Linked DNA regions of Mus musculus: regions 2, 3 and 4 are each reported to be linked to region 1. The links are microRNA targets in miRTarBase. Many come from high-throughput screens and were not tested one by one. Region 1 holds a microRNA gene; each other region holds the end of a gene's coding sequence.
What was found. Region 1 holds the annotated microRNA mmu-let-7b-5p (UGAGGUAGUAGGUUGUGUGGUU, at 971-992, opposite strand). A microRNA usually pairs through its seed, bases 2 to 8, with sites in the 3' UTR of a target mRNA and lowers its output. Matches are read on the target gene's strand: a 7mer-m8 pairs with bases 2 to 8, a 7mer-A1 pairs with bases 2 to 7 and ends in A, and an 8mer does both.

Region 2: the mRNA of Greb1l is a reported target of mmu-let-7b-5p. Seed matches in the 3' UTR shown: 8mer at 113-120.
Region 3: the mRNA of Msra is a reported target of mmu-let-7b-5p. Seed matches in the 3' UTR shown: 7mer-A1 at 2,481-2,487.
Region 4: the mRNA of Nup214 is a reported target of mmu-let-7b-5p. Seed matches in the 3' UTR shown: 7mer-m8 at 1,839-1,845.

Annotation. Positions count from the first base shown.
Region 1 is chr15:85,705,233-85,708,316 of GRCm38, reverse strand. It overlaps Mirlet7b (microRNA let7b), which reads right to left and starts at 998; the gene lies at 914-998. It overlaps Lncppara (long noncoding RNA near Ppara), which reads right to left. Exons shown (of 2, transcript NR_110483.1): 2 at 793-1,763. It overlaps Mirlet7c-2 (microRNA let7c-2), which reads right to left and starts at 1,714; the gene lies at 1,620-1,714.
Region 2 is chr18:10,559,867-10,562,950 of GRCm38, reverse strand. It overlaps Greb1l (growth regulation by estrogen in breast cancer-like), which reads right to left. Exons shown (of 33, transcript NM_001083628.1): 33 at 10-2,631. The coding sequence ends at 2,468. Among named protein-coding and RNA genes, the nearest start is that of Esco1, 49 kb to the left of the region's middle.
Region 3 is chr14:64,120,367-64,123,450 of GRCm38, forward strand. It overlaps Msra (methionine sulfoxide reductase A), which reads right to left. Exons shown (of 6, transcript NM_001253712.1): 6 at 2,255-2,987. The coding sequence ends at 2,823. All of the region lies in intron 1 of 9630015K15Rik (RIKEN cDNA 9630015K15 gene), which reads left to right. Among named protein-coding and RNA genes, the nearest start is that of 9630015K15Rik, 5.6 kb to the left of the region's middle.
Region 4 is chr2:32,051,907-32,054,990 of GRCm38, reverse strand. It overlaps Nup214 (nucleoporin 214), which reads right to left. Exons shown (of 36, transcript NM_172268.2): 36 at 1,016-2,872. The coding sequence ends at 2,839. It also overlaps a transcript of Fam78a not described here. Among named protein-coding and RNA genes, the nearest start is that of Mir7674, 2.5 kb to the right of the region's middle.

The sequences.
Region 1 (3,084 bases):
CCTGTTGCTCTCAGAGAGTACTCAGAGAGTCCCTCTGGGTACTCTCAACCCTGGGGCTAGCACAGTATCAGATCTTTGGAAATGGCTGGCTAAGTTTGAGAGGTCTGGTAGCTGAGGGTGGATATAGAGGGGCTCTAGGGGTGTTTGGTCTGCCTAGGTGCGTCAATGGAGGTGTGTGGATATGCAGAGTTGAGGCAGATTGGGTTCAGGACGGGAGCTGGGACTCGGGGGATTCATTATGGGGAGAAGGCCAGGACATCAGGGTCAAGGTATCCACCCACGAGGGAGGCCTTTGGTGTCTGGTCAGGTAAGACTAGGACTTTACCTTCCTAAGCTAACACTAGCTGAGGGCTGACCCTCACCCCACTACCACCACCTGAATGAAGGCTTGGGGTCCCTGGAAGAAGGGTATATGACCATTTGGCCCAAGATTAGAAAGCTACATCCACAGCCGTCCCAATACTGTCCCAAGGGAGGCAGGCACGAAGGGACAATAGGCCAGGAATTTCTCAGATCTGGTTAGGACCACAGGCTGAGGGACACTGGAAGCCAGTACTGTGCTCTGAGACTTGGAGTCATAGGGTCTGTTGTTCCACTCATGTGGAGGGGCTTGGGTGTCCAGGGCTTGGGCCACTAAGGGGCACATGGAAGATGAGGGGAGGGTACTGTTCACTACCCAGAGCAGCTCTTGCTGGCAATGTTTCATGCATGCAAACGTGTCAATGTGTGGTTGGCGATCTCATGTCCTCTACGGCCAGTCTCCGTATTTCCAAAATGACCAAAGACCAGTTGTAAGTTCATGACAGAACATCCTTTATTTATACCCAGGTCCCACGTCATAGCCCCCACCCAATCTGTGGCTCCATTTAGCTTGCTGAGCGGGGGCCTCCATGTAGCTGTGTCCCTGGGCGCCTCAGGGAAGGCAGTAGGTTGTATAGTTATCTTCGGAGGGGCAACATCACTGCCCTGAAACCACACAACCTACTACCTCACCCTGCGGTGTCCGTGTTCTGGAGGAGGCCCAGCCGCTCCCCACCCACCCTGGCCACAGGCCACTAGAGCCATAGGGCACAGGGCGGGGTGGGGGAGGGGGAAGTGGAGACAGAGGTTCAGTGAGAAAGGCCTGTGCCTACCAAACAGATTGAGGAAGCCTCTGGTGTCTGAACCCATTGCCCCAGGGACAGGGGACAGTGGCCTACACGGTCCATCTGCAGGCTGTACTCATGGGTGTGCTAAGAATGGCTCCTTTTCAATTTCTTCTCGGAAGAGACGCTTGCTCGTCAGAGGCCTGACCCTGCGCTGGAAAGCCTGGGCAACTCTGGAACATAGTTGAAGGTCTAGTCCAGACCCTCTTTTCATGGAGACCTGTGAGCACAGGTCTGATATGGGGCCAGGGGCAGGAAGGCCCCTTCAGTGTGGGCCAGGGAGAGAAGGTGCCCTGAAAATGCTGTCTGTTTTCATCGCTATGCCCCAACCCTTATACAGATGAGTAACAGCCCAGAGAGGTCAAGGGACTATCCAAGGTCTCTGTCAGGCTCTTTTTGCATGGTAGTTATCACCCCCCTGTCCCTCCCTCAGTCTCCCCAGCCAGGGCCGCCGTTGTATCCACTGCAGATATTGCGGCCACTTCAGGAAAGACAGTAGATTGTATAGTTACCGCAGAGCGGGGCAGAGCCCAAAACCATACAACCTACTACCTCACCCCAAAGGCCGTCAGTCAGTCTTGGCGTAGAGCTGGATGTTGTGGCTTCTTGAGGTCCCTCCTAGAGGAAGAAGGAGAGCTGGGGACATGGTGAGCCCCACCCCCCACCCCCGACACAGGCCGCTCAGTGCTGAGGGTATTAATAGACTGGGATTTTCTCAAAATGGGCCAGGGACATTTAAACAAAATCACAGAGAGAGTAAGGGGAGACGGGGAGACGGGGAAACGGGGAGAAGAGAGAGAAAGCACGGGGCACTGAGCACAGGAATGGCCACAATGGGGGAAGGGTGTCATTTGTTAAAGGCCACCAAGGTCCAGGGTGCTTCCAGTGTCCACCTGGCTGAGACCCAGCCTCTGTCCACTCAACTCTAGCGTAGTAGAATCACCAGGACTCCTGCTAAGTAGTAGCCTTGGGCATGTACCCTCTTCCCCTTAGGCAGGAAGAGCCCCCCCCTCGTGGGCTCTGGTTCTGTCCCTCCCTCTTCTCAGGGTGGCCTGAGCTGACCTTGCTGGGGGAGGCTCAAAACAGTCTTTCCTTGTGGGAGGCAGCCTAACTCCCCATGGTGGCCAGCCGGGCGCAAGTGCAGACCCTGGCTGGACACTCATGGCCAGTCTGTCCCTAACGACTAGCACTTCCAGAGGCCAGCAGAGATCGCTGAAGAAACTGAGGCTCAGTCTCTGGTCTCAGGTAGCTCTGCTCTCAGAAGGGAAAAAGACCTGCTTCTTTCAGGCCTCAGACCGGTTTGCCCAGCATGTGGAGGGAAGCCCTGTGCCCAGACCTAGGAAGCCAGGCAGCTTTTGCTCTCTGCATGAGCCCTAGCGTCTACTGTCACGCCTCCTTTCCTCTCTGCCAAGGGTCAAGGGACAAGTCCAAAACTCCTGGGTCAAAATGAAGCCGTTAGGTCTAAGTCCACATTGTGGCCCCAGATCCGGAGTCTATGGGGCAGAGGAGCTTAGGAACAAGGTTCCCAGAGCGCTGGTGTGGCCTGGCCCGTGGTGGGCAGGCCTGTGATGATAGGAAACACTAATCTTCCAAGCCCCAGAAGGAAATCTGAGCCACTGGGGTGCCATCCCCTGCCTCAAGCCTGGACCCTTTCACTAACAGGCAGGTCAAATACCCTCAAGGATGGTCCCTGCAGAGGCAGCAAGGCAGAAGAGGCGTGGGAAGAGAGTGGTGAAGGGCCCCTTTGGTGATCCTATCTATGATGGGTGGCCCAGGTGAGAAGGCTGAGGGGTGTCCCACACTGCTTAGCCTCTCTGTAGGCTTGACTGGCCATGGTTAATCTCGTCGGTTCTTAGGCTGTGCCCGGATGTGGTGGAATAGCTAGAGACCACATTGGTCATCTCCATCTGAGCCCAGCACCTCCCTCCCCCTCTCCGCC
Region 2 (3,084 bases), not on the chromosome of region 1:
CAAGCTTTTCAAAGCTGAGGAATGGGAGGGAATTTTAATACATTCACCAAATGAAAGAACAAGAACATACTGTAGACATAAGTTAAGACAGCTTAGAGTCATAAACAAAATGTGAGGTAGACTGACTAGTGAGTGAAATTCACCAAGTTTTGGTGAAGAAAGTTTTACAGTAACAGTAACACAGATGCCCCTTTCTAACAATCATAAGAAGCAGTTGCATGAATTACAGCCAAAACTCGACTACAGCATTTCTAAGTTTAGTTTACATTCAATATTAACCTGTGTGAACTGTCACACATGCCAAGGTTCAACAGGTCTGCAGGTAAGTTACCAGGTTTGCCCTACCTCAATGTCTTAGTGAATCTATTTGTCCTACCTTAGTGTCCTCAGGGATGGAAGGTAAAATCAAACACACCAAGACATGAATTAACAAGTCATGGTGGCCTGGGCTTGTGCAATTTCATCCTTAAAGAGGACCTAGCATTCTCTAAAGAATTATACTGATTTAGGTCATTTTAAAAGATCCAAGCCTTAATGAAGTTAGGCTTTGGAGACAAAGAGGCAGGTAAATTGAGCTTTCTCAACTATTGGAGTGATGGCCTTTTGGTTTTATTCTGGCATTTCTCTTGAACAGAGTTGAATAGTATTTACAGTTCATGATCACTTGAATTTCTAGATTGTAGCCCTAACCTGGAGTACTTGCATTAAAGTATCTTAGTTCAAAAAGAATAAACCAGTAAGCACTCCTAAGAGGCCTCTGCCCCTCATAAAATTGTTGTGGAATTATTTCAAGTATTCATCTTACATAGTGTTAATGGAATATTGCACAAACAGTGGCTTTCTTGGTATTACCTGCATTGGTTCTGTTCAGCAAAGGAAGAACACGTATCTAATTCCTATCTAACTCAGACTTCCCTGGAAAGTACCTCTTTGCTGAAATGCTGCTGTTCTAAAGCTAAGGAGTAAGCATTTTTAATAAGGCAAGGTCCTCTTTGAAGGTCAATTAAAAATGGGGTTAAAAGGAATTATCCTTTTAAAATACATTTAAAACATCATATGTAGCTATGTTAAACCAAGAGATCTGCAGAGCATTTCCTTCTAATACATCCCATCCTCTGACTAGCTGTAAAGTTCTTGTTATCCCTGGATAACCAGATCCATCACCTAACACTCCCAGCAATGCAGGCTCATTAGGGCTCTTAGTAGTCTCAGGTCCTAAGACAGATTCAAGTAAAAGTGACTGTTTTAACTGGAGATAAAAATCATACACATGGGCTGAGAAAAATCCACAAACCAGAGCAATTTCAGTGTAAACTTCCAATAGGTTATTGTAGAATATTTTCTCAAAATGTTTCTGATTAAAATATTTGGTTAGAAATACATAGAAACTTATTCCTCCTACTGTTGGTATTAGTCATACACTACCTGCTAACTTTAATGAGTCCACATCAATGAGTCTAAAAGACTCTTCATGGAATTTTCTTTACTTGGGGAAATTGTCACTGATAAAATTATAAGGAAAACTTGTCTATGGTCTGTTTTCTGCCCCACTCATTTTTATGTGTCAGTGCAGCACAGCAGTTACTCACTGAGTTGTTGAAGGATGCTAAGCCTGAGCTGATGAAACCAGATAGTTAAGACTCCACACTAGAATCTCAGCGTGATATGTGGGTTTCCAGGTGCTCACTTTTAACCAACACAGTGGTATGGCATAACTGCAGAGTGCATCACTGTATGCTTAAAGACTGCAAGTGGGAAAGACAAAGGAGTTCAGCTCAGAGAACCTTCATAAATGCACACAATGTCTGCTCTGCAGTTACTGACTTTTTTGTTGTTGTTGTTGTTGTTCAGTTTAAATAGTAAACTTTTAACTCCTGTGGAAATTTTGCCAAAGGTTTCAATACATATAAGATTATAAAATTTAAACTAACACTGCACAGAAAAAGACAAGCTACTTCTTTTTAAATACAAATATCTTCTACATTCTATCATTTCAGACCCCTGAGTAATACTGTACCAAAGTACAGATCTGAAGAGAAACTGAGGGTTCAGGCCTCAAATGTTAATCTTCAAGTCATTCCACACCAGTGGTGTATCTCATGTAACACATTCAGGCTGGTTAATGCTGACAGTCCCCTGTCCCCCAACATAGTATGGTAGAAAAAACAATGTGGACTTCACATTTGTTCTCCAGAATACATCCTCGGGCTCCCACAGGCAGAGCACACCCTAAGTAACTGCATAACTGCCCACTGTAGCATTGACCTGAACCTGGGTCCTGTCAGCAGAACTGAAGGAGGACAGTGCCCCCAAAGACCTTGGTCACATTTGGGGAGTTCTTTGGAGAAGAGATAAATATGTTGCACTTTGCTCCACAGTGATTGTACTTTAAAGGAAAAAAATCCCCAATAATTGTTTGTCCCACCCCCTTAGGGGTATGTTTGTTGTTTTTGGTCTCTTCAAAAACTCAAACATGGCGTCCAGTAAGAAAGTAGAGAGGCTTGTCATCACTGCTGTTAGCAGTTTGAAACTCATCCCGGAGGCGGAACTGCCACTCATCCTCTAACTCTAAGCGGACAATTGTTTGACGTAAGGAGCTTCTGTCTTGGCAGATGACACACAGGGTAGCACCTTGAGGGAGGAAGTTGATTACATTTGTAAGAATATAACTACCTTTGGAAACCAACATATAGGTAGAGAAATCATTTTTAAATTATTTATTTATTGTACAAGTGCTCTGTCTGCATATATGCCTGCATGTTAGAAGAGGGCATCAGATCCCTTTATAGATGGTTGCTAACTGCCATGTAGTTGCTGGAAATTGAACTTAGATCCTCTGGAAGAGCAGCCAGTACTCTGAGCCATCTCTCCAGCCCCTAGATAATTCATTTTATCTCAAGTAGTTTTGCAAAAGTTTCAAGGAGCATGAAGTGATTATAGAGGGAAGTTTCTTTCAGCCACAGACCTTCCCTCCTATAGTGTCTGATGTTTCTTTTGTCTTTTTCTAGAACAGGGTTTCTCAACCTTAGAACTTAGTTGTGTGTTGGGTGCTCTTCTGTGCCTTGTGGAATATTTAGCATATCC
Region 3 (3,084 bases), not on the chromosome of region 1:
GGGAAAGCGGGAGAGTTGAACATCTCTCTTACCAGAGGAAGCAGGCAGGTAGACCACTGGCTGGTAAAGAAGGCCCGGACTATACTCACGGACTCTGCTGTAATCCATAGATTATTCCACCAGCAAAAACAAAGTATGCATCCCTTTCTGGTGAACACGAGGCACAATAGCTGATGATATTCAGGTCCACAAAAGAAGTCTTGGCACATGTGAATACCTTCAAGATACGCGCATGGTGCACCTACATACACATAAAATCTTAACCAAATTAAAAAAAAAATGACAGCTTTTCAGCTGGGTATTGGTGGAACACTGCCTTTAATTCCAGAAGAGGTAGGCAGATGTCTGTGAGTTTGAGGCCAGCTAGTTGACACGAGTTCCAGGCCAGCCAGGGCTACACAGTGAGATCCTGTTCCAAAAATTAAATTATTAAATTTTAAAAGATACCTGTTGCTTATAGATTCTAGATTAGGCATGGAGAGCTGCCTCAGGAAGCACCAGGCTATCATGAGGCACAGGAAGGGTGGACAACAGGTGAGTTTATCTGCAGTTTCTGTAAGGAGAAATGAGCCAGTTGGGATGAACAGGCCTAACAGCTATGGGAAGGATGAGAACAATTGTTGTGGGCCCTGTGGTATAGAGGGGAGGTGGGTGGTGGCCTAGAATGTTAGAGTCCAATAAAGACGGTGATTGGAGCATGTTAACTCTATATTTATCTATGTATGGATAAGCACACTCTCAGGAGAAGGCCAAGAGTGGTGAGGGTATAGATAGAAGGTCAAGGCAATGAGACTGAGTTGGGTGGCGGGGAGCAGGTCATGCCAACATGTGTATGTAAGGTAGATGTTAAAGTGTCATGCTTATAGACCTAGAGACATGGTCAATGTAGTGGTGTCTCCATGGAGTGGGGAAACACCTCAGATTTAAGTCAGATATCCCAGGTCCCATGCAACAGAGCTAAATTAAGGCCCTGCTTGTCTTTGTGACTCTATCCAATGGTCCTCCTGGGACTTCTGAGCATTATCAGCAGTCTGCGACTCTAGAAGTGCCTGGACTAGGCTTGTGTACCCAGCACAGAGTCGCCGAGGGAAATCCTAGGTTCCGTTCTGTGGAAGGCTTAGGGCAAGGCCCAAGGAGTGCTCCCTGAAATGATTTGAGAGCCCTGTTCCTTCTCCCCGAGGGACACCTTTCTTTCACAGACAACCTCAAGTGTCACTTTCCGAGCTCATCTGCTTCTCCTGTAACCAGACATCCCTGGGCACCAGTGGAGGCCCCACTCCTTAGACGTCAGCACCTTCATCCTCTCCCACATGACCTTGTATGGTCCCATGGCATCTGCATGCAGATCTGTCCCTAAACTGCCTCCCTTTACATCTCTACAATGGAGCCAGGAACTTGCATCCGACCCTTGCATAGATTTGTGCCCTCACATGGTAATAACCCTCTGCTCACTTGTTCCCAAGTGAAAAGAGGAGTCTGAACGGCCTAGTGCTGCTATTCAGTTAAAGCCAGGTCTCAGGTTCCTTAATGATCCTCCCTGAGCCATCTCTGCCCTCCTTGGACAGTTCCTCACAGAGACCTGTTCTGCAAACTCAAGTCTGGAGGGCCTTTCAGTTTCTCCAATTCTGCCATGACCACTTGTATTTCTGGTCTAGAAACCCTTTTCTTCTTTTTGCTGAAGCATACAGGGTGATTGCTTCTGAGCTGTGTGTGTGTGTGTGTGTGTGTGTGTGTGTGTGTGTTTTCCTGGCACACACTCACTGGCAGATTGCTTTATTTGGTAAGCCATTCCACCTTGCTATTTGCCACCTTATGGGGACTGTGGTGAACTCACCAGCTGAGATGACCCTGCGCACAGCTCCGTGGTCCCAGAGCCAGCATCTTCCTTATGCATCTCTCTGTCCTGCATCAGGACCTGAAGTTATTTTACCTATTCATTTGTTTATATGGCTATGGTTTCTTGTCTGAAAGAGAATGTTCTTCTTCTCAAGGGCAAAGACTGAAGGTATCTGCTCTAAGTACCAATGTCCTCGATGTGACATGTTACAGGCGCCCTGAAAACAACTATTCATTACTAAAGCCATAGAGAGCCAGGGGTGTGCCCACTTGCCAAAAATTTTAATCATATTTTCCATTTAGGGAAAAATAAACAGGAGGGCTTGTTGTAGTTGTTTCTTCTTGAGCTCTTAACTTGGCTTTGCGATACTTCTAAATATCCTTCCCGAACAAGGGAAGACAGACTCACAGCAGGCGGTTGCTATTACCAAACTGCAGATTTTTATTAGAACAAGCTTTATCATAGCTGTAAGCAGAATGTTAGAATTCATTAAGGTCACTCCTGTCTTTTCTCTGCAGAGAGGATGGAGGGGGAGAGAAACCCCTAGTACACATCTAGAGCCAGCAGAGCAAAGCGATTTGGCAAATGATTCATGGGATCTGTAGACACTAATGAATTGGGCACCCGAGGGCAGGGAAGTGGGTGAGGTATGTCAGCACAGACCAAGGGGTCCCAGTACCCTGTGCTCTCCTGGCCATCCCCCTGCTTCAGAACCCTCAGCATCCTTCCAGTCTGAGCAGATCCAAACAATCCACTAAAATGTCATGATTTGTCCCCACCCGGACTGATCAGAAGGCAGATTACAGTGTATCACCTTGTCATGCTACTCTCTGGAAATCAAACCCCAATAACAACCAGATTCATGTAAAGGTCCGTGTGGTGTGTGTGCTTTGCATAAAGTGACAGATGTGAATCACAGCAGTGCCACTCCATCCAGCAATCATGGTGTTGATGGAACCTTCAGGGACAGCTTCGTGGAGAGAAATTATTTTTTAATGGCCATCGGGCAGGAAACTCCAGTACCCCCGAGGCCACAGTAGCCGTCTGGGTTCTTGCTCAGGTATTGCTGGTGGTAGTCTTCGGCATAGTAGAACACTTGTCCCTCTCGGATGTCGGTGGTGATGGGGCCAAAGTTATGCTTTGAAAGAACCTGTGGAGAGAGGAAGAGAAACCTCAGGACCCAATGCTGGACACAGGACTCCTTGAGAAGGAGGGAGCGTGGCCAGCAGGGGACACATGGCTTAGGT
Region 4 (3,084 bases), not on the chromosome of region 1:
GGAGACCAACTAACTCAGCACTGAGCCTCAGCAGCTCTGGCTAGAATTCAGCCTCCAGAGTAGTAGTGAGGGGTAGGATGCTGCCCAGCAGGTGGCCGGGCCTGAGCAATGACAGTACCTGAGAGCACTTGCATTGAGCTAGAACTCAGTGGTGGTGACTGTCATTCCCATGTACAGGACTGGATCTTGTGACATTGAGTATGCTTCCACAGATTCTCACTTTAGGGGGAAGTGTGGACTCCTGACCCATGGTCAGCAGTATGCCCCCCCTCCCCCCCATAAGCACACAGGGATTTGGTAAGAGGCGTAGGTCTGTGCTCAGAACTGTTCCAAGTTGAGGCTCTGATGGGGCAGAGCTACTGTGGGCCCTCCAGCCTGCCTTCAGCATGCAGGGCGTCAGGACAGGTGTGGTCGGCCAGCCTGAAAAGCTGGCCAACACTAACTGTGAAAGGAGTGAGTCCCCAAGGCATCCTCACTCCCTTGGCCATGGTTATTGTGGTTGGTGAGTTCCTGTCATTCTAGAATTGTCAATGAGAGATGTGAGTTTAATATTAAGCTTTCTCGGGCTCGTGAGATGGCTCAGTGGGTAAGAGCACCCGACTGCTCTTCCGAAGGTCCCGAGTTCAAATCCCAGCAACCACATGGTGGCTCACAACCATCTGTAACAAGATCTGACGCCCTCTTCTGGAGTGTCTGAAGACAGCTACAGTGTACTTACATATAATAAATAAATAAATAAATCTTTAAAAAAAATATTAAGCTTTCTCTGGGCACCTACTTTATAAGATATATATATAATCTGATCACACAATTGGGTGTGTCACCTCCCCTCACCTCTGTGGCTGGCTGAAGTCCACTGACAGCAGGAAGTACCTACAGACCCTCTTGCCTGAAGGAGGACCCCCCCCCCGCCCCCCGCCACCTGATCTCTGTCCTGCTGCTTTGTCAAGTGTAACAACTCAATGCTTGAAGCAGGACTATGGCACCCTTGGAAATTACCTCAGTTGAATTTTCTCAGTTCACTAACTCCTTCATTTCCATTTTTAATCTCAGTCTTCCTCTTCAGGTAACAAAACGGGCTCTTCCCTCTCTTTACCCAGTTATAGTCCTCATCCATGAATGTTCCCCATCAAACCCAGAAAGCCTGGAGCAAGTGCCTTTCTTCCCAGCACTTGATATATATCGGAAAGGGTGGATCAGAGAGTTTGAAGCCAGCCAGGGCTGCAGAGTGAGACCCTGACACAAAAAGAAGCCTGGCGATCCCTTGGTCTGAGAGACCTGGTCGGCAAAGTTCCAAGCATACGGAGAGACAGACCTGCTTCCGGGCAGAGGGGCCTCAAGCGGTGCCTGGCTCTTCAATTCCCAAAGGACCAAAAGGAGGCCACACTGAGGCTCTCAAGGCTCCAGCTCCTCAGAAGAGGCAGAGCCCCTAATGAGTGAAGCATGCAGACAAGTCTCTGTGGCACAGAGAATGGGTGACAGTCCGGGTGGACCCTGTGCCTAATTCTAGGTCTTGTCTTGGCTCTGGTGATGGCTGGTTAGGAACCCAGCAGGGCAGATTCCTCTTGAGATGATAAGAAGCCACTGAACACTCTGGGGGAGCGCCCATCCCTGATGGTCATGTTCTTCCCCTGAATAAGGATGGATGGAGGCTTGAACTCCCTGTCTGAGGCCAAGGCTGAGACATAAGGGCACACCTGAGCAAGCTGTGGCATGGGGGACACAAAAGCCAATAGGACCACAGTCACACTGACTGCACCATGACCTTAAAGCATTACAAAACAGCATCTTAGCAAGGTGGTAGTGGGCATGCCTTTAATCCCAGCACTCAGGAGACAGAGGTAGGCAGTTCTCTGAGTTCAAGGCCAGCCTGGTCTACAGAGCAAGTTCCAGGACAGCCAGCTACACAGGGAAGCCCTGTCTCAAAAACAAGAACAACCCCTGAACAACAAAGGAACCAAAACCTTTCCAGTATGACAAACCCCAACCCACAGCTCTTCCCTCTGCCCTTGACCCAGTCCAGAGCAGTGCCATGTTGTGAACCTGAAAGGTGACAGATGGTCTCTGCAGAGGCTTTGGTAGCACAGGACTCCACAGCCCAAGGAGCAGAACATGCCAGGCCCTCAAAGCTAACGCACCCAGAGAAAGAAGCATGTCTAAAATGGATTCGCACACTGTCCAAGCCTGCAGCGACTTGTTGATGTCCCCGTAAGTCGTGGGTTCCAAACAGTGAAGGAAGGACGTGGTGTTTGTAGGTCTGCAAATGCTGTGTATGGAGACGATCAGCAGACTGCCTCTGCACTGGGAACTGGCAGCAGATGCAGAGCATGCAGGAGCAGAGACAGGGTGGCAGGTGACAGGCAGCTCAGCGGCTGCCTCCCTGGTCTGTTTGCCATACCTGTCTTAGAACTGGCTGTGAAGGAAGGGGCCCTCACAGGAGCCTGACATGGAACCACAGAACATGTGGCATAGACATTAACGTGGGGAGGTGTCTGCCACATTCTGCTCTTTTCCATGTAGAGGGGCTCTACTCAGAATGCCACTGGGCAGAGACCACTGGCTTGGTTTCCTCAAGCCATAGGAATGTCTCTGGCTGTGACCCAAATAAATACCCAGATGTTCTGTGCAGAACCAGACCAAACACTTTAATAGCAGACGAAAAACTTGATGTAAAATTTGAAAGCGGGGAACAGGCAGTTAGTTAAGCATTGCTGAGCTTTGGTCTCCAGTGTTTCTTCCTGGCTGAGCGTTTTCATGAGAAAGTTCTTTTGACAGTCTGTTGCTGTGGAGGGATGCGCACAGGAGCTCACAGGAACTTGAGGGAATGCTGACATCAGCTCAGCTTCTCCAGCCACCGAAGCCCTGGACAGACCTGCAAGAAGTGCAGAGAGGATCAACACACAAGCCTCGAGTTGGGCCTGGAGCCTTCAGTAGCAGGCAGCTGGAGACACCACCACAGAAATGAGGCAAGTGTCTCCACGCCCTGCTGCCGGGAAGGCCAATCATCTCTTACTCAGCCTCCCGCAGGCCGGCAGCCCTAAACCCAACACCTGCTGCTAACCTGGCTCTTTAGCCTGGCTCTGC